4 linked regions of the Pelodiscus sinensis genome follow. The protein of the gene in region 1 purifies or fractionates together with the protein of each later gene. This does not show direct contact. Links are inferred from orthologs where the notes say so. Each region holds a gene or a part of one and is shown in the gene's direction. Other genes may lie near its edges. The genes, in order: HDAC4, TBL1XR1, HIF1A and RUNX2.

Region 1 (7,583 bases):
TTCTATGCTGGGATCTCCTGCTGACCAGCACAGAGATCTCTTGAAAGGTATGTATTCTTTTGTGGTGGCAAGAGTGGGATGGCAGGAAGGAACAAGCAAATAGAATCAAGGGGACAAGAACAATGAGAAGAGGAGGGGACAGAGCTGTCAAACTTGCGCCCAGAATTACAAAACAGTGTGACATCACCAACATCTAGGGCTGGTACCAGAGTGCTGGAGTTTGGGGGGGAGTGCAGCAGGAACCCCCAAGCTGTCTTACTCTACCTTCACTCAATCCACGTGCCTGGGAGGTAGACTTGCTGGGGCCTGGTGATATCTGTTTCCTTTTATTAAGAACATCAAAAAATGTAACCATTTTGTCAAACAAGAAGTAGCAATCAGCTAAAGATAAGGTAGAGGTGGGTGGGAAGTACTTTAATTGCATCTTATTTGAGCCTTTATGAATTAGCCATGCTGATTTTTTTTTTTGTGGATTTCAATAGCTTTTAAGCAAAATTTTCAGAATAATTACAGTGTGAAAACAGACTACCCTGAATGCACCTGAATTTAACATATAGTAGAAATGCTTCTTAGGCTTAACTTTTTTATTTTTAATTTAGAGGGACAGCAACAAGGTTGAATTTTCAGTCATTGTGCCATGCCCTGGTTACCGTAAACTGGATATTAATTGGTGCACCTATGCCCATGCACCAATAATACATCCATCAAATCTTGAAGACAATAGCTATACTATAAGGCATCTTCTAGGGTACAATTCTCTTTTCTGCTGTCACCTTTGTGTGGTACTCCAGCACTGCAAAAAGACCGTGAAGCTAGCAAATCTGGCCAGTTGGGAATTCCTTCAGAAGTAGAGCTAGTCAGAGCCTAGGTCCCAGCCTTCAGCTCCAAGCACAAGGGGAAATATCCAGAAGAAATGGGATACAGGCAGTGTATCAAGGCTCCAGTTATGTTCAGATGCTGGAATGACCCCTTTTAGGGCAGTGAGCCTGCTCTAATTATGCTAGTGACCAAAACACCTCCCAACTGAACCCTAAAATGGAGCCACTAAAGTGGACGTAAATCAACCTTGGTCCTGCATTGATCACAGCTCAATCAGACCCATACAGGAACTTAAAGCACCTCCAAATCTTATTCTGTGAATTGTTCTACCAGCTATTAATAAACTGTAACACCTAAGTTACTTAGGTCCAGATCCTCCAAAGTATTTAGGCACCTACATATCTTTCAGAATCTGAGCCTTGTCCCCGTCTCTTAGCAATTAACACACAAAAAAGTAAAATGCACACTGATGCAACTTGGCCCAGAACTAGCTCAGAACCAAACCCAAAATTTCACCAACTAAAGAAAATGAGCAAACAATCCACCCCCCCTGCCAATATAAACTAGAAAGGAAACAAAAAGGGGCTTCCGCCTTATGCAGAGTGCGTCCAGTTGACACGGCGCAGTGACGATACTGCGGTCAGTAGAGCTAAGTACATTGACTTCCGCTACTTTATTCGTGTAGCCGAAGCTGCATAACTTAGATGGATCTCCCATGGTAGTGTAAGCCAGGTCTTTGAGTCAGAATTGGCATGTGTATGTGGAAGAGGAGGAGTTTTGGGGGGGGGGAGGTTGTTAAAGGTTGCCATTGGCAGGGCTCTAGGCACACAGATGACATTGTTTAGGGACAGGAATAGCCAAACTGGCATGAAAATTCAACTCAAACAGGTGCCACACATGCCGGTGCTTCCTGTGCACATCCACCCCACTTGCACTGACTTTATACTCCCCCACTGCCCAATTCACCTTCATAAAGGCTCAGCTAACTCAAACTTCAACCCCATTCCACACCCCCTCACATTCCACATGCGCCTTCTCTGCACTCCATCACATTCAGCCTTCCCTCAGCCATGCCCCCTCTGCAGCCTCGCTGACGTCATCCCGAGCCCTTGCTGTGCTTATTGCACACACACGCATTTCCCCCCCATCCACCAGTGAGTGGAGGTGGATCTGGAGTTGGATGAGGGAGAGCCTGCCAGAAGACCTCCTGTGTAAGCTGAGGGGCAAAGGAGCTCAGCCCCTGCTTTGAACAGAAAGTACAGGAGTGGCTTAACTTACCCTCTAAGCTTCAGCCAATAATTTTTTGAAGTTCAAGAGCCACAAGACATACTCAATCTGCCCCACCAGGTGGTGCATGCCTGGGCACAGGGCTAAAACTCTTCCACCCCCAGCTCCCTGCAGGACAGAATCCTGTAGTCCCACCACCCCACCCAGTCTGGTAGGCAGAGAATGGGGTGCATGTGTGCGTGTGTGGGGGGAGCTGTCTTAGGGATTCCTTGCTTTCATGTGGCGAATCCTGCCAAAAATTCCTGCCAAGCTCTGCCTGAGCTCCAGTGGGTTGGGGCAAAAACAAGGACTTTTCTACAGCGCTGTCAATTCTTGCAGTGTTATCAAGAGTCGTGATAGTGGGTTTTCTTAAAAACCTCAATGCCTAGCGTCCCGTGGTGTGACAGTCTCAGCTTTCATTTAAGGAGCATGTTGCAAGCCCTTGTGATTTTCAGAGACGCATGACCGTGCAAACTCTGACAATGTGAAATCAGAAGGTACAGAAAATGACCAAACATTTAAAAAAATCTCAGGATTTTTAAGCAAATTCTGTTGATGTGGGAAGGAAGGCTTGACTCATGATCTTTGAGCTGTTGGAGTTCAAAGACTAGTTAGTACACACTCCTTGGAGGATTGAGGAGGAACAGCATCCATCTTTGGAAGCCTCCTGTAGATGTGAGAGGTTGTCCAGCTACTCGCATCCAGGAGACATGCGAGGGAAAGGGCCACTCTTCCTGACTCTTAAGGGCCATGATAGTCTGCAACATCCTATGTGGGGTTTGGGACAACCACTAGTTAAAGGGGACAGGGTAGTGGGACCTATGGCAAACAGCTGTTTGGACTCCGGAGTGCCAAGAGCTATGTGGGAGGGATGAGGCACCAGGAAGAGGAAGGAATGGTGGCACAGGGATGGGAGGGCATGCAGGAGTTAGTGCAGGATGGATGGGATGGTGGGGAACATGTTGTGGGAAGGGACAAAACAGAGGCTGGTGCGGGGGGGGGGGCAGTGGGAGTAGGAGTGATGTGGGGAGATGAGGTGGGAGCAGGAGCTGGTGCGAGAAGGATCCAGTTCTGGGGGGGGCAGGGTGCCAAGGGGGGGGCTGATGTGGGGAGGGGGATGGGAGCAGGAGGGGAACGGGGGCTGATGTGCAGAGAGGGATGTGGGAACGGGGGGGGGGAACTGATGTGGGGAGGAACACGGAGGGGGGCTGATGTAGGGAGGGGGCTGGAGGAGCGGGGGGCTGATGTGGGGAGGGGAATGGAGGAGCAGGTTGGCTGATGTGGGGAGGAGGCTTGGAAGGGGGGTGCTGATGTGGGGAGGGGCCGGAGGAGCAGGGGTGCTGATGTGGGGAGGGGATTTGGGGGGAGGGCTGGAGGAGCGGGGGGGCTGATGTAGGGAGGGGCCTTGGGATGGGGGCGCTGATGTGGGGAGGGGGTTGGGGGGAGGGCTGGAGGAGCGGGGGGGCTGATGTAGGGAGGGGCCTTGGGAGGGGGGGCGCTGATGTGGGGAGGGGATTTGGGGGGAGGGCTGGAGGAGCGGGGGGGCTGATGTAGGGAGGGGCCTTGGGATGGGGGCGCTGATGTGGGGAGGGGGTTGGGGGGGCTGATGTCGGGAGGGGTTTTGGGAGGGGGGGCGATGTGGGGAGGAGGTTGGGGGGCTGATGTCGGGAGGGGTTTTGGGAGGGGGTTGGGAGGGGCTAATGTCGGGAGGGGTTTTGGGAGGGGGGGCGATGTGGGGAGGAGGTTGGGGGGGCTGATGTCGGGAGGGGTTTTGGGAGGGGGGGCGATGTGGGGAGGAGGTTGGGGGGGCTGATGTCGGGAGGGGTTTTGGGAGGGGGTTGGGAGGGGCTAATGTCGGGAGGGGTTTTGGGAGGGGGGCGATGTGGGGAGGAGGTTGGGGGGGCTGATGTCGGGAGGGGTTTTGGGAGGGGGTTGGGAGGGGCTAATGTCGGGAGGGGTTTTGGGAGGGGGGCGATGTGGGGAGGAGGTTGGGGGGCTGATGTGGGGAGGGGTTTTGGGAGGGGGCAATGTGGGGAGGGGGTTGGGGGGCTGATGTGGGGAGGGGTTTTGGGAGGGGGGCGATGTGGGGAGGGGGTTGGGGGGCTGATGTGGGGAGGGGTTTTGGGAGGGGGGCGATGTGGGGAGGGGGTTGGGGGGCTGATGTGGGGAGGGGTTTTGGGAGGGGGCGATGTGGGGAGGGGGTTGGGGGGCTGATGTGGGGAGGGGTTTCGGGAGGGGGCGATGTGGGGAGGGGGTTGGGAGGGGCTGATGTCGGGAGGGGTTTTGGGAGGGGGGGCGATGTGGGGAGCCGGGGGGGACAAGGCGGTTTCTCTACGGCCCCGCCCCCGCATCGCGCGCGCCGCCCGGCTCCGCGGCCCATCCCCCCTCGTGCCTCATGGGAGGGGGAAGCGGGGGGGGGGGGGAAGGTGCTATAAATAGCCGCCGCTTCCTGATTGGTGCAGGGAAAACATGGTCGCACCACGTGACTTTCCATCTAAAAATTCCAAAATGGCGGATCCCATCACGGGCTGAGTCCGTTGGTGGCGCGCGCGCCGCTGTGTCCGCCCCGCGCCGGGCCCTCCCCGTGGCTCGCCGCCGCCACCGCCCCGGGCGCCCGCCGCCGCCGCACAGGTCAGTACCGGCTCCGCGCGCCGCTCCGCCGGGGGCCGCGCCCGTGGGGAGGCGGCAGGCGCGGCGCGGCCCCTTTAAGGCTGCGGGTATTTTTGTCCGCCTGCTTTTTCGCTCTGCGGAGGCGGCTCGCGGCCGCCGGACCCTTAAAGGGATGGGCCGCGCACGGCTATTTTTCTCCCTGGCCGGAGCGAAGAACCGCGGAGGGTTCCGGACCAGGGTTTGATGGGCAGGTCGGAGCACCAATGGGGGGCGTACTTTCCGCAGTGGCGGGTGCATTTGAGCCGCTTGAAGGGTCACGCTCTGCTGCGATTGGGCGGCAGCGCGGGGAGGGCGGGCCCGCGAGTGCTCGCCAATAAGGGCGGACGAAGGGGTGCCGGGGGCGGGTGGCGAGGTGACTGACCCCCGGCGCGGCCAGTCAGCGCGGGGCGCGGCGGGGCCGGGGGTTTTTGTGAATGGGGCGGGCGGGGCCGGGGCTGTGGTGTGTCCCGCCCTCGCCGGCTCCCGGCGGCTCCGCCCTCTCTGGAGCCGCGGTGCCGCCTCGCTGCGCGCGGGGCTCGGTGGGGCGCTGCGGCCGGTGAGTGCGCGGGGAGCGGCCGCGCCAGCGCGTGTCGCGGGGCGGGGCCGCCGGTCGGTCCGGGGGCTGCGCGTCCGGGGGGTGGGTGTGTGTGGGGCCAACACAAGGGATGTGTGGGGGGGGCACACGGGGTGTGTGTGGGGGCTGGAACGCGGAGGGGGGGGGTGTCCATGTCCACGTGTGTGTGTGGGGCCGACATAAGGGGTGTGTGTGGGGGGCCAGTACCTGGTCTGTGTTTGTGTGTGTGTGTGGGGGGGGCAGCATCTGGGGTGTGTGTGGGGAGAGAGGGGGGCAGTCCGGCACCTAGTGTGTGTGTGTGGGAGGGGCAGTCCGACACCCTGGGTTTGTCTGTGTGGGGGAGGGTCTGGCACCGGGGCGCTGTGTGTGGGGGGGAGGGTCTGGCACTGGGGCGCTGTGTGTGGGGGGGAGGAGGGTGTCAGGCACCCAGGCTGTGTGTGTGCATGCATATGCATGTGTGGGTGGGGTTTTTTGTGTGTCAGGCTGGCACATGGGGGTGTGTGTGTGGGGGCGGGTTGTCTGTGGCGTGTGTGCGGAGGGGACTGTATGTTTATCGGACAGCCACACATGGGATGTATGTGTGTGTGCGATTGGGGGGGATGGAATTGTGTGTTTGTCCACAGTCACTTGTACATGTTGGGTAGCATTTGTCTGTCAGGCTTTGGCTCTGTTGTGTACGGGGGAAGCTGTGTGGGTCAGTCTGTCCGATACTTGCTGTCTGTGCGGCCCACCCGTTGCTGTGTTTGTGTGCAGGGGTTTGGAGGGCTGAGTGCCTGTCTCTGTTCAGCAGTCACTGGTGTATGTGTGTGGGGGAATTGGTAGGCTGTCACGGGCACTGGGGGTGTCTGTGGGGGGGAGAGTGTTCCTGCGGCAGGGGGATCCTTGCAGATGGAAGTAGTGAGGGTGTGGGTGTACTCATGTCCCTCCTACTGCCCTGCCTAGAGAGCTCCCTCCCTAGCCAGTGCAACAGTCTGTCCCTTTCAGCCATTTACTAGAGAAGACGTGCTCTCTGGAGTGGCAAGGGTGTGGGCGGGGGGTTCTGGCATAAGAAAGGTTGAGCTCACTTGTGAATTGATGAAGCTGTTTAGAATTCTTCATTTTAAGCCAATTTAAAACAAAAGTCAAATTTGTCCTTTAGTTTTACCCCCCCCCCCCAGTGAGGGAGGGAGGGAGATATATATTTTGGGGGTGGGTGGGTGTGGGTGTGTGTGTGTGTGTGTGTATTATATAATAAAATAGATAGGTAGGATAATACCTATTACGTTTAGAAAATATGCAAATATATCCTCTTTCTGACTTACGAACCAGTTACTGACCAAGCAAGTGGGTCGTAACTCGGTTTGTTCGTAAGTCGGACCCCATTGAGTTACATGTGACTGCGCTGTTCGTAAGCGCGGATTGCGTTCCTAACTCAGGGTCTGCCATTTACGACAGTTTTGGTCGTAACTGCGAACAGTCGTAAGTCGACCATTTGCAACTTGGGGACCGGCTGTATTCCATTGGATAAGATAGGACTTTGGATGGTTCAGTTATTCATAACCCAGAACTAAAATATAAAAGCGATTGCTGGATAAAGAAGCGAAGACAGCTCTTTAAACTGTAATTAATTACTGCTTTGACTGCGTAGTTATAATAGGGAGATGGCACACAACTGAGTTGTGGTGGCCTGTGTTCTTATAAAACTTCTCAGAATCTTTTCTGGCACCTTCTGCACATGTGCCTGTGCTAACATGATGATGGCCCACAGTGTACATGCTTCGCTAAAAAGTGAGTCTATCGAATGCAACACCCATTAAAAGGAGCTCTTTTGATTTTTTTTTTATGGTAACCAAAATTCATCGTGGTTAAAGTGTGGACTTGTAAAAGAATCTTATGCATTTCATGCTTATGATAGTTTTTATATCTTATGTTGTATTATCTTGTTTGAGATATTAGTAAATTAGCATTACAAAATTATGCTTGTCCACATACGTGAGCCAAATAGACACTTATCAATTGGCAAACCATAAGACAGAATTATTTTGTTTGGTAAGCGTAGATAGTTTTGTGTAACAAATTTTCATGATGACTTCAAGGCTGTTTCTATACTGTTAACATACAACACAAAATGACTGTATCAAAGGAAACTTACAGGTAACATTCTGGCCCATACACTGTGCCTTGTTCCCTTTTCCTTCTGATTTGCTGTGTGTTTAAAATGGAGTTTTACTGTATAAAATGTTGGTTTGTGCAACAATTGTCATGTCATAGTTTAAAAAAAATCATTATAATGTTC
Region 2 (7,582 bases), on another chromosome or scaffold:
TCCTGTAAAAAGTGTGTGCTTGTGCAGTTGCTTGAGAGAGTCAAATGCCACCTGCCTAATTAGCAGAGAACCCACAGCAAAGTTTTGTGTTTCTTTTGGCGCTGCACATTTGCTCATGCCTTGGTGCATGTGAAAAAATTATTCTGCACATGGATGGAAAAGCTTAGAGGGAACATGGATTAAGGAATTCATCAATAAAATCTCAGAATTACAATAAGTACAAGACACATGCAGTAGAATGTCAAAAGATACAAACACCAGTGTTATTTACTTATCAGTCAACTGGACATCCTGTGGCACTGGAACGCCTCAATCATGCAGCAGCACAGATACAAAGGGAGGAAATGCAAATCTTGTAGGGCTTGGGGCGGGGGGCTTTACCCCTGAGGTTCAGGGCTTCAGTCATGGAAGAGGAAGTTTGGAACATTAGCCACAGGGTCGAGGCTCTGGGTGGGGTGGAGGTTGGGGCTTCTGATCCTCAGGAGCTCTGAGGATTTAGATTGAGGTGGAGCTCGGTGGCTCAGGGCTTAAGCTCTGAGGGAAGCACCAATTTCATCCCTAGCACTCCCCCGAAGCTAGAGACCTTCCCGATTGGGGCATTTGAGGGGCAGAAATAGAGCTGTGGGGAGCTGGGAGCTGCATGACTGAAGCCCTATAAGTCCCATCAATCTCCACAGGTCTAAAGTGCTGGGTCCTGATGCTTCTGCTAGGCACAAGTGCTTAGCTCTCCTCCCTTCCTCCCCCGGCTGGAGACCTGGAGCTCCAAAGGGTCAGAAACCTCAACTTCCCCTTCCCCAGCCCTGATCCTCCTCTGAGCCTGCGATGGCAGCCTCCAACCCCACACATGACTGAAGTCCATAACTACTACTTCAGATGCTGTAGAACTATTTGTTGTTTTTAAAGTTTTTACTACTTCAGCGTTATGGACAACAGCCGTTCCCGAGTGCCTGTAACACTGTATTGCAGTACAGTGTACTGCAGAATTTTCTTGTCTTTCAAACCCCCGTAAAGCAATTTCTAATATGTTGAACACAGTGGAATGTGAAGGGAATGTTGACTTGTTCTTCATCAACATCACTTTCATTATGTGATTTGTTTGTTTTCTGTCAGGAAAAATAGCTTGTATAACTGGTCATTCATAAGATTGGTGTTTGTAAAATTGAGGTTCTGCTGTAGTTGGAGGGAGACTGAAAGTGATGTGCCGCACAATGCTAATGTGCTCAGGAACCCACCAGATCCAAAGTCTCTCAAAGTTTGGATCCAGAGTTTAACCACATCTCTGAACTTCTGATAGGACCAAACCACAAAAGTTCCATCTCCTTTAGTATGAGAGGGCTTGGAAAAAATAACAGTGCTAAAGATTATTATTTATTTAAACATGACTCCCTAGGTTCTACACATAACCCAACTCTGTAAATCCTAAACATAGATTACTCATTTAACAAGCACCCTAAATAATCTTCCTTGTCCAATTACCCCATATATCTCAACCCAGCAGACTGAGCTCAGATTTATGCAGGGACAAGAGTTCCAAGGTCAAGGGCGTATAATAGAAACTAGAGTTTCACATCCTAAACAATGCTGCCATGGAATCAAAGAAGGAAAGAATTAATCTTTCAAGAAGCAAGGTCCCAAATTATTGAAGGCTTTGTAAATCAAAACCTACTCCTGTCCTGCAAACACAAGTGTGTGGCCCTGTTGATTCCATCTTGTCTACTCCCATGCTTGTAGTGAAACAAATGTTGGTGTTGGTATGAGTGGGGCCTCATTTTATATTTTTTTTATTTTAAGATTGTGTAAGTGCTAACATTATTAAAGCATTATGTACCAAAAAGCACTCCACAAGGTCTATTAATTGTTGTATTTATCGACACATGCACAAATATACTTACTTGTTCTAGGCCCCTTCACAATTTTCAAAATTAAAAATCATTTTTTTAAAAATATATCCATCCAGTAACAATCTGAACCCCCCAAACCAAGTGGCTTCTACATAAGAATATATAACTGACTTTCTGCGGTCCTCAAACCCTGCATGTGATCCAGCTGGCTTCAAAGTCCTACTAGACTCTAGCATGTCTTAAAGCAGGGTTTGGTAACCTTTCAGAAGTGGCATTCACTTTCTATTTACAGATCTGTGTTCCCCCAGACCGAATCCCCATGGGTGCAGAGCCCTGAAGGCACCCAAGCCCCCACTAGCTTCCTGTGTGTACAGGGTCCTCTGCCCCAGTGCTGCCGCCTCCCACTGAAACTGGATGGAGCGCAGCCTAACCTGGTGCCAGGGAAGGAGGAGGGCGCTAGTGGCTCATGCTCCATGAGAGCTGTGCAGCCCAATCTGCAGCCTGCCCCGCAGGAACAACAGAGGTGGATGCCCAGCGGTGGGCAGGACTTTTTCGTTGTGGGGAGGCTGGGCAGAACTCCTCCATGTGTAGCTCTGTGGTCTGCCCATGGAGGTGGGGGCTGAGTTTGCTTTCTTCACCTCCCTGCCCTGTCCCCTGGAGCTGGGGTTGCAGCCTTGCAGCTGTGCACCGGCTGTGAGGCTCCAGCGGCAGTGCGGACTCCCAGCGTGCCACTCAAAAACATTTTGTGTGCTACTTATAGCACGTGTGCCGTACGTTGCTGACCCCTGTTTTAACGGCTGATAGACTTGAGTTATTTTGGCTTCGTAATTAAAGAATTTGAAAAGAGAAAGTGCTATACTCCATAAAGGGCTAAATACATATTAATAATAACAAAAAATTAACAAAGACAAGCACCAGGGCCCTCAGCCTCCACAGTTGAACAGTTCAGGGCCATCCTGTCCAGGTGGAGCAGACTCTCCCCAGCAGTGTGAATTTCACCCTGGCACCAGATCCTGCAGTCAGATCCACACGAGGATTATAGGGAGTAGGGCTTTGTGCAGGCTCAAGCGTCTGCACGTGCAAATTTGACTGCTGAATCAGAGCCTGTAAGTGTGATCCACAAAGCACTTTAAAATGCAAAGCATTGTGTACTAACAAATATGATTCACACTAATGAAGCTTGCTTTAAAACCCTGTGACATAAAGGCTAAATAGTATTAAAGTGTCCTAAAACAAACAGCATGGCATTATTATCAATAAGACATTTTATATTCTGAAAAAGAAAGCAGTCCCTGAATGCAATTGGTCTAGGTAGGTGTTCCCTTGAGCATGGGTGGAGCTCTGGAGTTAACCCTCTCAGAACCAATTGTAGGATGGAGGCCTACCATTGTTAAAAAAAAAAGAAAAAAATTTAAAATAAAGCATTATATACATGCTAAATGCCAATATTATGGAAATGCATTGGACATGAAACATGTTCTGGAGGCGTGTAAAAGATGATTGACAATAAAACCACACTACCCAGCATTACTGCCCTACGATGCAGGCTGTTGCATGGGTGTCTGGGTGCATGTGCGTGTGTGTGTGTGTGTACACATGCATGGTCTTAAGGGAAGGTGTCTCATGCAATACTGGAATCCCAGCATCCACCCCCACTCCTTGCTTGTTTTTCTGGCTGCTGCTGGTTTGTACATCATTCATAACAAGGCAACACCTGGCAATAAGGCTGAGTGTAAAGTGCTGCCAGGCCTTGGGGAGTATACTGTATGCGTGTTCCTGGAAGCAGAGGAGGGTCTCTGCCGAATGCTTCCCCTCTGTGCACACTGCTTGCTTTGCTTTACATGGTCTTGGTAATAATCCTGGGCAATATCGCTTGATACAGCTTGCTGCAAGCGGTGTGTGTGTGAAGTGCGAGGGTCTCCCTTCACTGTACTGGACCCCCGTGTCCTTCCCGCTTTCACCCTGCTGCTGCTTTGCAGGCTGCTGCTACGATATATTCTTAATAATCAACCAGTGCCCGCCTTGCACTGTTGCCCACCTCTTACGCAACAAGCTGGGGCAGGAAGGAGCAGGGCTCGCCCTGGGTGCCCCTCACCCCTCTGGTGGGTGGTGTGCCTAATCATAAAGGAGCCTGGCCAGAGGGCCCTGTGCAGCTGGCTGGGAAGGCATGTGACAGGGAAGGTGGCGGCGGGGAGAGGCGGGTATCTCCCTTGGCACCCCAGGATCCCACCCACCCTGCTCCCAGGCAGCATGTGGCTGGCCCCTGCGGAATCCTGAAAAGCAGCCCTGCCTTGGCCATATTGCCTGGGAAAGGGGGGGGGGGGGGCGTGTGAGAAGAGGAGGGTCTCCCCTCCCCTCCCCCATGGCTGGGCTGGAGGCTGGTGGTTGCTTTTGCAACCAGCCGCCCGGGCCTGCTGCTCTGCTCCTCGCCCGTCTCTTTCTCTCTCATTTCTGTGCGGCTGGCCACCGCGCGCGCGCTCTCCCCAGCGCGGAGTGTCTGAGCCGTTGGCTGCTCCGAACCGTTTGGCTCCTTCCCTTAGTAACAGCTTTTTACATTCTGCCTCGATTCCTCTTCAATCGAAATCACACACACAGGGTCCTCCCCCTCCGTGGGACTTCATCGCCCAGCCCTTCCCCCACCCCTCCCCCCCCACTCTGCCTTGGGATACCATTGACTCTCACAGCCCTGCGGGGTGGCTATTATTTTTCTCTCCCCCCCCCCCTTTTGCTATTTTTTGCCCCCCCCTCCCTTTTTTTTTTTTTTGGATGGTTGCTTGGAGTGGGCACCTCGGCTGAGAGGGAGAGTGTGTGTGTGTCTGTGTCTCAAGCTGTAGACAGAGGAGGAAACCCAGGGTGCATTTCTTTTGCCTCCATTGCAAAGGAGAGGGGGGAGGGCAAAAGCAGCCACTCAGCCATCAACGGCAAGGTAAGGACTTGGGGGTGTTCTGGGGCTTTTTTTTTTTTACTCTCCTGGGCTGGATCAAGTGCATCGGGGGGGGGGGGGTGATGGAGCCTCTTTCGGGGTGCGGGGGTGGGGAGAGGCTGTGGGGGAAGTGATCCAGGGTGGGGGGAAGGGAGCTGTGTTTGTGTCTGTGATAGTTGGGGGTGGGGGATGGGCACCAGTGTAACATGCATTTTTTTCCCCCCCCCAACTTGGGTCCCCCTTTTTAAAAATGTATTTTTTTGGGGGAGGGGGAGCTGGTGGTTTCTATTGTAAATTGCACCTCTGTAAAGCTTGTTTTTTTGGAGGGTTTTTTTGCCTTTCTTCCCCCTTTCTTATTTCTCCCCTCCCCCCTTCCTCCTCTCCTTTGGATTTTATTTTAAAGGCTTTAAGGGGGGGGGGGGATTTGCAGCAAATTGAATCAAGGAGCCATCATGAGGCAGGCTGGTTTATAGCCTATTTTTAGCCTGATTTGTGTAAAGAAGAAGAATCCTCCCCCCCCCCGTCATATTTACTATTTCTAAAATAGAGGGCGGGGGCGAGACCACCCCAAAGTGTGACCTTAGGTCTGTATTTATTTTGCAGTCGGCTTATGGGTTGTGTCTGCAATGTATATTTTTAAGAAAAGCTGGGGAGAAATGTGCTTGTGTCTGAACTCATGCTTGAGTGGGGGAGGGGAATCTGTGTCCACACTTTCCTCTGTGTGATTTTTTGGGGGGGGTTATTTATTCTCAACGGTGTATATTGTCTTTCATTTGTAACTTAGAGGGGTGTGTTTCCTTTTTGTTTAACTACATTTGAGATACAGCCCTGGATTTAAGGGAAGAAAATATCTGTATATGTAATTAATTCCCCCTCCCCCCTTGTAAAGTGCTAAAGTTATTGTTGATCAGTTTCCTGTTTAATTCTGGGTGGATTTCTGGGTCACATTTTCTCTGACAGGATAAGGGCCACGTGTAAAAGACAACTCATGGGCCCTAGTTTTGCAAATAAGCCTTTATACCTGTTAATGGGCTATTTTTTAAAACTTAATCAGAAATTCAAAATGAGCCAGTCAATCTTTTTTTGTGCATTATATATTTTAAAAAAGAGCTTTACACCTAAGTTACGTGTTTTATTGTGCTGCTAGCTGACTATATTTACCCATTGTATGGGCAAAATGCATACTTCACTATATTATTTAATGGGGTAAACATGTATGTTAAGATTGTTCCTAGTGAGTTCAATCTTTCATCACCAAATTCCCTTTTCTGGAAAATGTATAATAAAAATCTCCTTAAGTTGTGCTTAATGGCAGAGTCTTGTTGCTTGAGAATGCATGTTTAGTTTTCAGGATAAAGTTTCATCTGTAGTTGCTGTTCAGGGTTGCAGAGTAAAGTTTGCTCATGGTCTTTGCTGTCAGATGTACCCAACAACCTCATTTTCCTGTCTGTATAAATCAAAACTTTACTGATTTATGGAAGAGATCGCAAAATATGCTTATTCTTTGTTGTTAAAGCATAGGATATGGAGAGTCATGATCTGGAAAACTGTGTTGTCCCATAAAACATCTGAGCCTGATTGCTGTTGCTTTGGTGATCTGGTATATTGAATAGATATTTGAGGGCCTCACAAAACATATTGACAAGGGAAGGGTCTTTATTATATATGGCCTATGCTCTCTGGATATTGAATGTTGGCTTTAGGTAGGACACAGTGTAGACAGAAGTGCTGTTGGCAGAGTTCAGGTTTAAGTTTTGAATAATGCCTTAAGTTTTAGGGCCAAATTTTGGGTCTTGATTGTGCACTGAACTTTGCCAAAGCTCAGATGTCTGGCCTTGGCATGGACATCTTAATATTAATCTTTTCAGCTTAAAGTTAAAATTTAAGGCTCAAATCCTAGAAACACTTATGCAGGTGTGTAACTTTAACCACGTGAGTAGTTCCATTGGTTTTAATGAGACTATTTATGAACTTAAAATTAAATATGTGCTTAGATTTTGATAGAGCCTGAGAATTAAAAAAAACTTCATTGTTAAGGTAAATCTGCTTAGTATAGCTGTTCATGTTATGTAAATAATAATAAACATTCTGTAGCTTCCCAAAGTGATTTATTTTATTATTAATTACATATTACCTGAGACTCTCTCCTAATAAAATTCAAGATCCTGAGAGTGAAGCGCAGGCTTGTCTCCGTGAACACATGGTTCATGTTGGAATGTGTCTTGGGAACTTTGTGGCAAGTCTCCCAAAATAGTATTCTGAACACCTAGAAAATATTTATCATTCACTCCATATGGGAAAGAGGAGAAGGAAATTTAAACATGCAAGAGTAGTTGGGACTTGAGTTGTTAATTTCAGCCTATACACAAGGGTATACAGTTGATATTGTTCATTTAAATGTTTTCTTGCTTCAATGAGAATAATAAATGTTGATCAAAATTATTAGACATAATTGCTACTCAGCATTCCCCCCCACAAAACAATATGAATGAAAATTTTTACAAATGCCAGTTTTAGTTTTTCTTCCAATAAGTGATGTTTCGTACATGGCTTTGAAGTTGCAAAGCATTATATAAATATTAAGCATTGTAAAACTTTACTGTGACTTTGTAATTATTATCACTCAGATAATGAGTGTAATGAATGTTGTTAAATCCTACAAACATGAGGAGATGGATGAAGTACATTGAAATGGTCAAAATGTGAATATATTGTATGTGTATCTATTTGCTTTGTTTTTAGTTAATTTTTTTAGTGAGGAAGAATAGATCCAAGTGCATGTAAAGTATATTGAATGGTTATGGAGTTTACCATAACA
Region 3 (7,117 bases), on another chromosome or scaffold:
GTTCTTGGATGAGAAATCTCAAAGGATAAAAAGAATCCATGACATATGTGTATCAGATTGCAGCAACTATTCGCCCTGCCATTTCTGTTTAAACTTCAAAGTCACCATTTTCTTCAGTTGTATGCAAAAAATGACTTTATCTGAGTTGTTAAAATTAAAAACCTACATATATAAAAGCCAGGGAGTTAAGGGTATCACAGCACCACCAACTTGCACCTCAAGGTGCTTTCATTACATTATAAAATATGTACAGAAAGGTATGCCAAAATTATCTTTAAAAATCAAAGATAATAAAATATTATCTTCAACGGGTGTAGCTCCTTGTGTATCATTCATTTAAGAGTATATCAAATTACCCAGCCCTAAATGAGCATTTATTATTGTTTGTTTTATCATTTATTGTGGGAATGTCTACAGGTGAACCAAGCAGAGGGCTCTATTGTATTAGGCACTGTACAGAAAAGCAGACAGCACCTGTCCTGAAGAGTTTATAATCTAAATTGACAAGATAGACCCAGCATGGGAAAGGAGACAGAGCAGCTGCAGATCCATGTGATGGAATATAATGAAAGCTTTTTAGCACTTCTGAACACCCTCTGTATCTCACTTATATTTACCCCTCACAGAATAAGGCCTATAATCCACATGATCGAGAAGACATAGTTAACATTGCAGGGGAGCCTTCAATGCTAATTCCACTGACTCGGACCAAAAGTTTCTTTCTCCACTCTCCTTAGCTGTGGTCATGTGGGCTGTGTCTACATTTGTACTCTTTTCAGTAAAAGGGATGCTAATGAGACAAGTCGGAATTGCAAATGCCGCGGAGGGTTTAAATATCCCCCGCGGAATTTGCATGAACATGGCTGCCGCTTTTTTCCGGCTCGGGGTTTTGCCGGAGAAAAGCGCCAGTCTAGACGGGATCTTTCAGAAAATAAAGCCTTTTCCGGAAGATCCCTTATTCCTCTTAAAATCAGGAATAAGGGATCTTCCGGAAAAGGCTTTATTTTCCGAAAGATCCCGTCTAGACTGGCGCTTTTCTCCGGCAAAACCCCGAGCCGGAAAAAAGCGGCAGCCATGTTCATGCAAATGCCGCGGGGGATATTTAAATCCCCCGCGGCATTTGCAATTCCGACTTGTCTCATTAGCATCCCTTTTACGGAAAAGGGTGCCAATGTAGACATAGCCGTGGTGTGTCATGTTCTTGGTGCTTTTCTCTTTTCCAGATATTTCTTACTGTGTGTCTATATTTGTTAGGCTTCCTTCACAAAGCTTACTATGTCAATCTGGCTATGTCTAGACTGCAAGCCTCTTTCGAAAGAGCCTTTTCAAAAGATTCTTTTGAAAAAGCCTCTTTTGAAAAAGAGTGTCTAGACTACAACCAGTACTTTAAAAAAAGCAAGCCACTTTTTCAAGAGAGAGCACCCAGGCAGTCTGGATGCTTTATTTCGAAAAAGCACAATTTTCTATTACATAGTATCTTTTTTCGAAAGAGCACTTTCGAAAAAAGGCGTTATTCCTTGTAAAACAAGGTTTTCCATGGTCGAAAAAACTGCTGCGTTCTTTTGATTTACTTTCGAAAGACTGTGGCAGCAGACTAGACATGGGAAGTTTTTTGAAAAAACCCTGTAGTCTACACCCTCTCTTCACCAACAAAGTCTTGGCTTGTACTTGTGCTGGCACAGTTGTCTCTTGGTTTTTTATTTGAGTTTGCTTGCAAGTTCGTTGGGAAAGGACCTAGTCTTTTTCTGTGTTTGGTAAAGCACCATGGATGCTCGTCATGCTGCATACGTAAAATACTATGACATCTTTTGGTACCAAAGGTACTAACTAATTGTATTATATTCAGCACAGAACATTTTCTTAATACTATATTAACAGAACTTATTTTACCTGTATTGTATTGCAAAAGACTAGAGTGATAAATGGTTGCAGGTGTGTACTATGGTTGCATTGCAGTCATATTTCTCCTACAGTAAGGCTACGTATTCACCAGAAGTCGGTCATCCCATTGCATCAGTCCTCCTACTGAAGTTGGTAGGAGTCTATCTGTTATCATAATGGGAGTTGGAGTGGATCCACTGAACCCTGTCTTATAAACCATTATATTCCCAAGTGGCTTTTTGCAGGTGAGTAGTCCTATTAATATAAATAGGACCACTTCTATGTATCAGGTTATTCATGAAGAGTCTCAGGATAGGGGACATAATTTTTAAAAGACCTTATTGTTTTATTAGTTGTGTCTATTTGTTCTATAAATGGAAAGTTTGTGGTCTGAGCCATGCCCGGTGACTTCTAAACAGCAATGTTTGAATCATTGTGTAGGGCAGGAAGACATATAGAACACTGCCTCCTGCCATTTTCCATGCTCAGCTGCAACAGCAGTTCTGATGTGTAGAGCCTGCACAGACACACAATCTGCTCTCCTGCAGTCTCTCCTGCCAGTGTCATGCCCTGGGTCCCTGGTGCTGCTCCACACACCAGGGCTTTGATCCTGACCTCAGCTAGGGGTAGGAGAAGGCAGGGTAAGGGGGAAGAAGTCAGCACTCCCACCCCCTTAAAAATGTTCCCTGGGCCCTAGCAGCTGGAGTTTTTCTAGCATCACTGGGGATGTGTGTGGGGGAGGATCTCTAGCTTCTCTGTGGGTAAGGAGTGTGGCAGTGACATCCTCAGGGGTCTCTAGGCTTCTCAGTGCAGGGGGGCCTTGGAGTCAGGCTGGGGCGGGAGAGTCTCTTCCTCACTGTGTCTGGGGGGCAGGCTCGAGGTTCACTATGCATGGGGGGCGGGGTGTCACTAGCCCCACTGAGCGGGAGAGAAGAGAGAGTGTCATTGGCAGAGAGTCTCTAGCCCCATTGTGCAGGGGTGTGTGTATAGGAGGCAGCCTGGGGGTGTCTCTAGTCCCACTGTGCTGGGGGGGAGGGTTGGAGTCAGGGTGGGGGTGTCTAGCCCCACTGTGCTGGGAGGCGGGGGCCAGAGGCACAGGGGTCGCTAGACTCACTGTGCTGGGGGGGGGGGGGGCTGATGCGGGGGAGTCTCTAGACTCATTGTGTTGGGGGGTCGCTAGACTGTGTTAGGGAGAAGCGGGGGGGGTCGCTAGACTCACTGTACTGGGGGGTCGCTAGACTCACTGTGCTGACGGGGGTGGAGGCAGGGGGGCTCGCTATACTCACTGTACTGGGGGGGTTGCTAGACATAGTGCTGGGAGGGAGGCAGGGGGGTCGCTAGACTCACTGTACTGGGGGGTGGCTAGACTCACTGTGCTGGCCGGGGGGGGGGGGGGAAGGCAGAGACGGGGGGGTCGCTGGCGGGGGGGCCGGGGGGGTCGCTAGACTCACTGTGCTGGCGGGGGGGGGAGCTGGCGGGGGGGTCGCTAGACTCACTGCGCTGGCGGAGGGGCCGGGGGGGGGTCGCTAGACTCACTGTGCTGGCGGGGGGGGGGAGCTGGCGGGGGGGTCGCTAGACTCACTGCGCTGGCGGAGGGGCGGGGGGGGTCGCTAGACTCACTGTGCTGGCGGGGGGGGGGAGCTGGCGGGGGGGTCGCTAGACTCACTGCGCTGGCGGAGGGGCGGGGGGGGTCGCTAGACTCACTGTGCTGGCGGGGGGGGGAGCTGGCGGGGGGGTCGCTAGATTCACTGTGCCGGGGGGGAGGAGGCGGGGGGGTCGCTAGACTCACTGTGCTGGCGCGGGGGGGTCGCTAGACTCACTGTGCTGGCGGGGGGGGAGGAGCCGGGGGGGTCGCTAGACTCACTGTGCTGGCGGGGGGGGGGGGAGGAGGAGGAGGCGGGGGGGTCGCTAGACTCACTGTGCTGGCGGGGGGGGAGGAGGCGGGGGGGTCGCTAGACTCACTGTGCTGGCGGGGGGGGGGGGAGGAGGGGGGTCGCTAGACTCACTGTGCCGGGGGGGGGTCGGTGCTGGGCTCGGGGCCCCGCCGCCTGGCCCCGCCCCGAGCGCTCTGCAGGCCGCGTCCGCGCAGGCCCGGGCGGAGGGGGCTCGTCCCCCGCACACAGCCCGACACGTGCGGCTCCGGCCCCCTCGCAGCTGTTGGCTCAGCTGACCCAGCCGGCGAAGGGGGCCGGGCGCCCGGCGGCCGCTCAGTGGCTCGGCGCCGGCTCGGGCCCGCCCCGCCCGGCCGCGGCGCCCCACCCCCGGCCCGCCCTGCGCGCTCAGAGCCGCCGCCGAGCCCGGCCCTGCCCCATGCGCTGAGCCGCCCCGCAGCAGCCAGGAGCCGCCGCCATGGAGAGCGCCGGCGAGAAAAAAAGGTACCGGGGCCGCGACCCCCCCTCTCCCGGGGCCTTCCCCTCCCTCAGGAGCGCCCCGCGCGGCCTGCGCCCTCCCCCGCTCTGTGGGGCTGGGATCCCGCCTGCCGGGGGGGAGCCGCTGGGTCCTGCCGCTCTCTGCCCAGCTCGGCCTCCCTTGGGGTCCCCTAGGCAACGGGGGGGGGGGGCCCCTTCATTCCAGTGCCCGTCACATTCCGGTCCCCCCCATTTCCAGGCCCCCCCTTTTCCTTAGCCCCCCACTCCTGCCCCCCACCCATCGCGGCCCTCCGGAGAGGGCTGCTCTTTCATTTCTCCTCCTCCTCCTCCCCGCTGTCCACGTCGCCATTTTGTTGGAGGGGGAAAAGGGGGGAGCGCTGGAGCTTAGACAATTAACATCCAGGATTTGCGTGGGGAGTTTTTTTTGGGGGGGGGGGCAGTTCTGCTTAAAGTCTTTTGGTCGCCCCGAGGAATCGGTGGCACTTCATGCACGAGGCCCCCTGGGATTCAGTGTCTTGCAGCTGAGACTTTTTTTTTTTTCTTCCTGCCACTGAATTTCAAAAAATAAAACCCTTGGTCTGCTCTTGGCTTGGAATAAGTAGGGACTGGCTTGCAGTGGATTAAATATGTGTGTTCACCAGATTTCCTGGCTCAGTGCGGTGTGTAATTTGTTAATGTGTGAGTGTAATGAATATTAGGCTGCGAAGAGGGAAGGATTGAGTCTGGAAATGGGATTTAAGAACAGTATCCATGTTCAAATATCTATATAATCTGTCAAAAATAGGCAAACCCCGATTGATGAAGGTAGAACAGTTAAAGGAAGCAGAAACGAAAGTGTGCAGCTCTGTACTAGCTATTTCGAAAATTGACATTTTGAAAGCTACATTAGGAGGAAGGAGAATGTCTGTGTGTATATGTTTAGAAAATAAACACAGTATTTTTTGTGATTGGAGTTGTACCATAACATACTGAGTTGAAAAGGGTAGGTTAACAATGAACTGTGAAGTTTTTTTTTTGTTTTTTTAAATTAAGGCATCTTCTGCAATTTTGGTGTCCATAATTGGCTATTTTTGTTAGGGGGGAGGAGTAGAGATTCTTAACATGTTGAACCTATAAGTAGCAATTCTTCAAGATATTGATTTCCTAGAAAAGAGCTAATTTACTGAACAATAGATGTTCCAAGTGTAAATAACTTTCTTGGCGAAGAATTTTCAATTTAGATTTAAAAGGGAGAAACGAAAGCTTCAAGAAATAAACCTTAATTGTATGGTGAAGGTGTAGAGTTTGCTGAGGAATATTTTAGTGATGAGGTTTTTAGCTTAGACAAATTCCTCCAAATGAGGTTTGTGGAGGGATTAATTTAATCTCTATCTGTAGAAGGCAGAGTATATTTATGTTGTTGATACCATTTTTGAGATCTTGGACTTTGGATCAGAGAATCATCTGACTAGGTCAAATGAGATATAAAATGCTTTACTATTTAAATGATACTGGGAATGAGAGAAATGCAATATCTTTGTGGCTGAATTAGCTTTTCATGGTGAATGTTGATTTTGTGCAGCTAGAGCACATACTCTGGGTGAAAATACTGAGCAATTTTCTTGGGGAAACACCACCTTTGCACCAGTTTTAATTGTTTGTTTTAATAAACAAAAAAACCCTGTGTAACAAAATGCATACAGTAGGGTACGTATGGGTGGTGCCTATTATAATCCATGTATAACTATCAGGGAGCCTCATAGAAAATGTTGCATCATAAGTGAATGACCTTTACCAAGCTTGGCCCAGTTTAAAGCTGGTCTGGAAAAAAATTAGGAATTCACTTTTTTTTATAGTCCTGTCAATCTCTGTCCATGACTGTTGTTTTTCATACTTTTCCTGCTCATAGTACTCATAGACTTTAAGGTCAGAAGGGACCATTATGATCATCTAGTCCCGTGGTCCCCAACACGGTGCCCGTGGGCGCCATGGTGCCCGCGGGGGCATTTGCATGCGCCCACCAGGTGCTCGGGGCTGGCCTGGCCCCGGGCACATGGCGCACGGTGAGCGCCGGCCCCGGGCGCGCGGCGCTTGGGGAGGGGAGGGAGCGCCGGGCGCGCGGCGCTTGGGGAGGGGAGGGAGCGCCGGGCGCGTGGCGCTTGGGGAGGGGAGGGAGCCCCGGGCGCGCGGCGCTTGGGGAGGGGGCCGGCCCCGGGCGTGCAAGTGTCCCCGCCCTCTGGCGCCTGGCGGGCGAACGGCCACGCCTCCTGGCGCCCGACAACCTCAAAAGGTTGGGGACCACTGATCTAGTCTGACCCCCCACACAGTGCAGGCCACAGAATCTCACCCACCCCCTGCTGCTGGAGTTGATCTGCCTTTTGGGGGTAGGGAGGGAAGATTTGCTGGGGGGCGTGATGTAAGAATCTGTGTATCTAGGAGAGAAGGAATAAACTCAAGGTGAAGCTCAAGAGAGATAATTTATTGGTTGCTGCTTTTGGAGACCTACTTCAGTGTGGGAAGAACTTCCATCTGAATCTTCCTGTAGCATTGTCTTTACGGTAAAGTATTGCGGCATATTGAGTACTCTTCTGGATGTTATAAACGTATAGAGCAAAGATTTGGGTAGGTTTTTAAAAAAAAGGAAGGACATACGTTGACATTTACGCAAGCTGGAACAGAGAACTTGTTGAAAGTCTGTGTTGAGAGACAAGGTGGATGAGGTGTTGGTGTTAACTTTTATTCTGCCAACTTCTGTTGGTGGAAAAGGCAAGCTTTCAAACTACACAGAGCTTTTTTTCACCCACCTTGTGCATCTAATATATCTGGGAACCAGTAGGGCTACAACACTGCAAACATCAAGTGTTACTTAACAGTCCCACATTGTTTGA
Region 4 (7,472 bases), on another chromosome or scaffold:
GAGAAAAGACAAAAAGTTTATAATGATTTTAAACAGCAACTATTGACTGCTTACTGGACTATATTTAACTAGAAGGACTTGTACAACAGAATACCAATGATAAGAAGAAAAATAATTGAGCAATAATGTACAAAAGCAGCAGTCAATAAGATATATTTGGCTTCTAAGATGCAGAACCTTGCTCAATGACTGAACAGCAGGCAAAGTTTTCCATTACTGTTGTTCAAATGGGCATTATGTGACTACTTTTTTTTTTACTGAATATGGCAAAGGAAGGTTCGTAACCCCAGGCAATAAGAGACAATTATGTTAGTTAGAAGTAAATTAATTCCCAATTAACAGAAAATTACTCTCATCTCCATGTGTAGAGAAGATTTCTGTTTTAGGGTTAAACACTTCTTTAGCAGTAAGAGTCCAAAGAGTAAACTAAGAAAAGACAACCCATATTTGCTTATACTGGAAGAAGAGAGAGAATTTTTCATACAGAACCAAACTATCAGCTTCATTCCATTTCTAGTTAAATTATGATTCAAGAGAAAAAAGAGGGTGGGGTGACAATGTATATAAAACAAAGGCAATCATAAACACACATGGAAAATTAGGCATTTATCCATTCAGTACCCTGGTGGCCTTTCAGCAAGAATGTCTATGAATAGCAATATAAGCTGTCATAAAGAAGTATTTCTATTAAATACTCTCTTTCTGCTAAATAGTACACAAGGTTTGTGGTAATAAGTTAACATTTGTGATACTGAATATAATTCATACAACTGTAACAATTTGGAAATTTAAAATCCAAGTAAACATTAGTCGATATAATGGAGTTTTCACAAAATGTGTAAATACCAAAATTACACACCTGCACAGAAATAAAATGTAAATAAATTAGGTAAGAAACTGCTGCACTGCTAACAAAACTATACCCAAAATGAGAATGACTTTTCTAAGGATTTGTGAAATGCAGAGTGACTTCTTGCCGACAGAAACAGGAAAATGCAACACTGTTTGAGACAGACCAAACGCAGCAGTATCTGTGAGTTTGATGCATCAAAAGTAGCAACATAAGGATATGGCATATTATAAAAATCTTATTCTTCTGGGAAACATAAAACACAGGGGATAAGTTATTCCTTTAAAAAATTAGCTGGTAGGAAGTTGACCATACCAAAAAAAAATTTTTTTAAATAGAAATATACTCTCTACGATGTATCCTATAGGTTTTATGCTAGATAAAGTACAAAAAACAAAATGTTTGGAAATAAGATAAAGCAAGGCTTACAGGTTTTGAAAACAAATTTAATAAAAGATCAAGAATATAATGGTATTAGATTTGTGTTGAAACTGATTTTAATTTCAAAATGAGACTTACTGTCTCCATAACTGAACAAGTCCATAATGGTCCACATGAACAAGTCCATAATTTACAAAGCAAATTCTTTAGCCTAATACTTATAGCTATAATTATATTAGTAGCCTAAAGTAATTTTAAGTTAATTTTGCTTTCTGAACAAAAGTCTTAAGTATAAGCCTGCAATTAAATTTGTTTACACAGTGAATGAACACAGTTGTCAGAAATAATATATCTTCATCACATTAACAGTTATTTTTGAAGAAACAAGTTGGTAGGTATTACGTCTATACATGTTTTTGTTTAAGAAACTCTCTCATAATTAAAAAGTTTACTTAAACAATAACAAGAAAATATTTGTAACACTGAGAAAACAAATTTATGTTCTAAATGAATATAGAAAATGTCTAAAACTACATTTCAATCCCACATGGTACAATGTGTTCTTATGGTTCAATGATCTTCACCCTGCTAAATGGAGAATTTATTGTGGCAATCGTAACCTGGATATCAAAGATAAATAAAATAGCCTGTTACTGTCCAAAAGGTTATCCCATTTAAGTAAACTAAGAAAAGAAACATTAGTTGAATGAACTTAAGGTACTCAAGTCAAAGTAATAAAAAAAAGCATCTTGTGTCAATTTTACTTCAGTGTATCCAGTTCAGAGATCCAGTCCTATGTGATGAGTATGATTTTCAGTTATTAAAGAAATGAATAATAATTAATGTTGGGGCTTCTGTCTTTTAAAATTATAAAGATCAGGCTTAAATGAGAGAAAATATAAGAATTTGCCTCCAACAGTAATCTATTATATGGTAACTGAATATACTTAGCATTAGCATAATATAGTATCTGAAACTTTCTCAACATGTAAATGTATTCGCTGAGATTTTGTACTTATAATTTGAAATTCCACAAATCATAGATACAAACACTTTCAAATGCTTTTATTATATTAAACGATGACTTCTAACTCACACATGCACACTTTGTTTATCCAACATAATTAATACTCTATTTATTCATTTTTATGCCTCAAAATGCTTTCTTGGTGATGACACTATCGTGTAATACAAATCTATATTCAGGGATACAAGAAGCCCATTTTTAGAGGGACAGGTGGGTTTTTGTTTTGCTGAGTTGATATCGATTGCACTTTTTACAAACTACATATATCAGTTCATACACTACCTAGTAAGTTTTCATTTAAAGAAACAGTCCTAGACATTTGGCAACCTCTATAGAACAGGTAAAGTGTTGAACTGAAGACAATATAGTGTACATTCCAATACATATTGCGTTGAGATGTTCAGAAACAGGATTGGGTTTATATTTTTCTGATAAGAATCTGCCAAAGAAAAGCAAAATGTACAAATAATAATTTTACTGAAATACTCGTTTTCCATCTCCTCTCTCCACACTCCATCCACCCACCCACCCAAAATAGAAAGACCCTGCTCTCCGCCCATCTGTCATCCAATTAGTTTCACACCACTTCTAGTCAACTGCTTATTGCAGAAGCAATGGAGGAGATAAAGGGGGAAAGGAGTGAGGAAAGCCAACTGCCAGAGACATGCTTATGAAGAGTTTTACAAATAAATGATGAAAAATGTTCAGAAAATTTCAAGTCTGTATTTCTTTTCTGCCTTTCTTCTGACTCCCCACATACAAAAAATAATGGAATTATAAAATACAGCGCTCATATGATACAATCATGCTAACAATAAAATGAGTTTTACACAAACACATGTCCAAAGGGAACAAAAATAAGATAGTTTCTTAAAGATGTTTCCAATTTTATTCTGAATCTGACTGAGCAAATCAAGACTACTGAACACATTATTCTCTACTACACACAGCATTTTGCAATTTATTTCAAAGTCTCTATTATAAACAAAAAATACTGCTTTTGTTAACACATTGTGTCCTGATATACTAAAAGATTATATTGCACTAAATTAAAGCTGTAGTCCATTAAGCATATACAAATATTACACATGCATATTATATTGTGTTTAAGCCTCACATATTCATCAAAATTATGTTTCATTTTCAAAGTAAGCACTAACATTAATGGCAAAATAAAACTATTAACAGGATCCCTCAAAAAGTCTCAGGTGATACTGTTTCTCTAAAACACTTAAATTGTAAGTAATTGATGTTAGCAATCAAAATTCCATAACCAATAAAATTCACAGTTTAATAATGTCTATTTCAATCATTAAATGTTTTATTAAAAAGCATAATTTATAATACAGTACTCAAAGTAGTTACAATATACAAATGATAGATTCTGCAAAAAAGCCAAGACTGATAAATAATTGCCCTTAATTTTCATTATATAAAGCTGCCAGCTAATCTTAAGGTACATAAGCAAGACAGACATGATTTAAGATTTGTAAAGGAATACCCAGACTAACGCTTCTCTGACAGCCAATTACACTACAAAACACAGCCCCAACAAGCAGGCTGCTACCAGACCTTAGGAAAGGTAAAATTTCTTACAATGAGTTACAGATTCACAAGTATAGGAAGACAAGAAGAAAAAGAAAAACAGAAGGAATCCAGCCACCCAGCAAATATGAAGCAGACCCAAGATTGTGATACAATCCAAAGATGTAAATTATTGTAAATCATCACTGTTGTTCAGAATTTCACACAGCCACTTGCGCCAATTTTGCTTACTTTTCCACAGACACAATAATGAACAAAAGAAAGAATGAAAGTGGGTGGGGGGGGGGGGGTGAGGGAGAGCCTGTACTGAGAGTACAAAGTTCTGCTGTCCATATGCTTTAACTGTACAGGAGTTTGGGCTCTTTCAGCATTTTGTACTCTCTCCAAATCCTCATGAGTCACAAAAATTAAAAAGCTATATCCTTCTGGATGCCAGGAAGGGCCTTGCCACAGGCCTTTTGTCAAAATAAAATTAAAAAAAAAAAAGACAAAGAAAAAGAAAGAAAAGCCACATTGGTAGGCAGTCCCACTTACTTTGAGGACTGTGATGTCACAAACCACATGATTCTGTCTCTCCAGTAACAGTGCTTCCAAAAAAAAAAAGGAGTTTTAAAGCTTTTGCTTTTTTGGATTATGTGAATGCTTCATTCGCCTCACAAACAACCACAGAACCACAAGTGCGGTGCAAACTTTCTCCAGGAGGATAGCAAGAAGTCTCTGGTTTTTAAATGGTTAATCTCCGCAGGTCACTACCAGCCACTGAGACCAACCAAGTCAGTAAGTGCTCTCTAACCACAGTCTATGCAGTAATAGTAGGTCCTTCAAATATTTGCTCATTCTCTTTTTGTTTTGTTTCCTTGCTTTTCACGTTATCAGTGCAACACAATTTTTTGACAGAAAAAAACAAATACAGAGTTTATGCACTCTAGACACACTGTAATACTAAAACTGGGATTGGGTATGGTTTGTATTTTCAGTTTAAGGCTTCAAGCAGTATTTACACCAGAAGATACAAGTTGCGTGTGAAAACAGAGGACTATGGCATCAAACAGTCTGTTCAGCTCAGTGACACCATGTCAGCAAAACTTCTTTTGGGGTAAGTATTATGTTTATTTAATTCTATCAATGCTCACTGACTGCCATCAAACCAAAAACTTGTTAAATAATATTTATGGTATTTAGAACGCATAGTATATTTGGGAGTAGTCATGAAAAAGAGGTTACCATAAATAACACATGTAGATTTAAGCACTAATTTGTTAAATAGTAATCTGACAAGGTAGGCAAAGTGAAGTCACTATACTGTACAATCCAGCGTTTGACAGCAGGTGTGCTGTCACCTTTGTAAGTCACTGTTTCTAGTTGTATGCATTTAGCAAAGTAAGATGGTGCTCTGAAAAAATCAAAAATCTTATTAAAATATGAATATTAAATGAGCACAATAAACAATATCACAGAAGAGCATCAGGTTCAGAGGCAGGGGGGGGGGGGGGTGAAATGTGGCATTTTATAGCTCCAGCATCTTTGCAATGGACAAATGAATTACTAATTTATCACTGCTAGTTCTCTGTATCTGAAGAAAATAAGTAAAATACAGGACTTAGAAACTTCTCCTATACAACTGCCCTACCATTGTCTTAAATGTTTCATAAACTAAGAAACGTCATTTAGCATAAACGTCAAAGTATTCAGCATTAATCTAGAGTCAACCCCAAAATCAGTAAAACACGCATTACAATGCATTGGGCTCTTTAAAAATAGTTTTTCTAACTACATTTTAATCATGAATCAGTTGAGATCATTTTTCTGTAAAAACTATTCATATGTGGAATTTAAAAATGTGGAAGAAATTCAGTTTAATTTGTAAGTAGCATTTTTTTAGCAGCTCTGTATAATAGTATTTTGCCAAATATCAGCTTGATATTCAAAACTGTAAACAGGTCTTAAAATATCTTCATTAAATAATAATTAATTACACATGTGTATATTTACATACATGTTCCATATACAGAGTACATATACGCTGTAAATTGATATTGCAATCACTTTAATTTTAAACCTTCCCCAGACCTGTTTTTTAAAATCAATAAATCACATTTTAATCCTCTATTATATTAATTATCATTCGCTAAAACTGAATAATTATTTTCTGATTTCTATGAAATTCACAATGCAGCTGAGTGTTAGCTGAAAGAGTGACAGCAAAATCCCAAAGCATCATAATAGTTGATCAGCGGTCAGGTATACATGCAAATTTTTTAACTGAAACAGGTCAATAAAACTATCTGATTGATCTCAGAGAAACCAAAAGAAAAGCACATGAAAACTTACAAGATTTTCTTAATGCTGTCCATCATGCTGAAACCTTGTTGGGGTTGTAGCTAAACTTTTACCTCTCCTCCCCCACAAACACTTCAGAGAACAAAAAAAAAAAAAAGGATGCTAGAAATACTTTCAGCACATACACCTAGATTAAGCTTATATTGTAACTAGCTTATGGTTGGAGTTCCCTTTACCCCTCCTACTTCACACGTTTCAACTGGCTAGTAGTTAAGCACATGAATGTACTGTAAGTCTATAAGCACAATCAAACAAAGAAAGTTCATATTTAAGGAATAGAATAACTTTAATTTATGATGTACAAAAGCACTGATAGACTACATAGTGCTGCTTCTCAGCACTAGCTGTCTGAAAGTGCTCATGCAAAGGTGTACTACACATAATATTGAGGTAAAATATGGACACAAAAAAATAGACTTTTTAATGGTAGGCAGTATTTCTACTAAAACTGCTGTCCTAATGAAGCGCAGCCGAAGTGTAGCCAGACCACATTATCCCAGTGTTTACAACAGGAAATACAGTTTACATGTATAGGGACTTTCTTTTGCTTTTACTTCCAAAAAAGATTAGGAGAAATTTAGTTGGCTAAAATTATCATAACATGAAGTGGTGACTGCTTAATTCATCTACTTTTGGCCATTCTTTAAGCTACTGAATAATGTTCCAATGTGCTTCCAAATTTTGCATATATAGGTAAGGCTGAACAAATAAATGTGTCTTTTGAGACAAATTACAATGAATTTCTAAAGTAAGAGAAGAATATCTCCTTGACTTTATATTTAATCTTAAAAAAATAAGAATAGAGGCTAGAAGATCAAATTAGTGTTTCCAAGCAAAATAGCGTGGTTCTGTATAGAATGCATAATCCAACTATGATCTTCATTATAGTCAGGTCCCGCATTTAGTCTCCTCCCATTCTGTTCTCTAATTTATTCTTATTGGGCCTGTTAAATTTGATGGCGTTTTTCTTAAGAACTCACCTGTGGAACTACTGATGGCTGACAGCAGAGCCAAGGAAGTAAAATGCATCAGACTTCTGATCTGCTTATCAATAAGTTTAATAGTATCTCTGCAATTTTTTATTTTACCTGATGCAATGCATTTTAATCGTAACTGAAATCATCATGCATTTTCTATAACTTCAAAAAACAAATTCCTACTTAATCTAATGAATTCTGAATTATCCAAAAACTGTGTTCTGTATTTAAACTGTTGTACAGCACAGGTAAACGTAGAGCTAAATCCCAGGCTGGACTGAGTTCTGCCTGTGAATAGTAACGCTTTGAATCTTTTAATTCAAGCCTGTTAATTTTGAGTTTGTCAAGACAC

The links.
Region 2: the proteins of HDAC4 (region 1) and TBL1XR1 purify together in Homo sapiens (affinity purification with mass spectrometry; 3 studies listed by BioGRID and IntAct, with this or other methods). This does not show direct contact. The link is inferred for Pelodiscus sinensis from reciprocal best matches to the Homo sapiens genes HDAC4 and TBL1XR1.
Region 3: the proteins of HDAC4 (region 1) and HIF1A purify together in Homo sapiens (affinity purification with western blotting; 4 studies listed by BioGRID and IntAct, with this or other methods). This does not show direct contact. The link is inferred for Pelodiscus sinensis from reciprocal best matches to the Homo sapiens genes HDAC4 and HIF1A.
Region 4: the proteins of HDAC4 (region 1) and RUNX2 purify together in Homo sapiens (affinity purification with western blotting; 3 studies listed by BioGRID). This does not show direct contact. The link is inferred for Pelodiscus sinensis from reciprocal best matches to the Homo sapiens genes HDAC4 and RUNX2.

What each region holds. Positions count from the first base shown.
Region 1 is NC_134717.1:63,920,089-63,927,671, forward strand, and holds the start of HDAC4 (histone deacetylase 4), read left to right. Parts: upstream 1-4,567; 5' UTR 4,568-4,716; intron 4,717-4,724; exon of another isoform or gene 4,725-4,946; intron 4,947-5,138; exon of another isoform or gene 5,139-5,290; intron 5,291-7,583. UniProt on the Homo sapiens protein: Responsible for the deacetylation of lysine residues on the N-terminal part of the core histones (H2A, H2B, H3 and H4).
Region 2 is NC_134720.1:43,459,850-43,467,431, reverse strand, and holds the start of TBL1XR1 (F-box-like/WD repeat-containing protein TBL1XR1), read left to right. Parts: upstream 1-4,577; 5' UTR 4,578-4,767; intron 4,768-7,582. UniProt on the Homo sapiens protein: F-box-like protein involved in the recruitment of the ubiquitin/19S proteasome complex to nuclear receptor-regulated transcription units. Plays an essential role in transcription activation mediated by nuclear receptors.
Region 3 is NC_134714.1:13,950,697-13,957,813, forward strand, and holds the start of HIF1A (hypoxia-inducible factor 1-alpha), read left to right. Parts: upstream 1-4,105; 5' UTR 4,106-4,230; coding exon 4,231-4,256; intron 4,257-6,537; exon of another isoform or gene 6,538-6,787; intron 6,788-7,117.
Region 4 is NC_134713.1:11,418,269-11,425,740, forward strand, and holds the start of RUNX2 (runt-related transcription factor 2), read left to right. Parts: upstream 1-4,454; 5' UTR 4,455-4,580; intron 4,581-4,780; 5' UTR 4,781-4,841; coding exon 4,842-4,899; intron 4,900-7,472. UniProt on the Homo sapiens protein: Transcription factor involved in osteoblastic differentiation and skeletal morphogenesis. Essential for the maturation of osteoblasts and both intramembranous and endochondral ossification.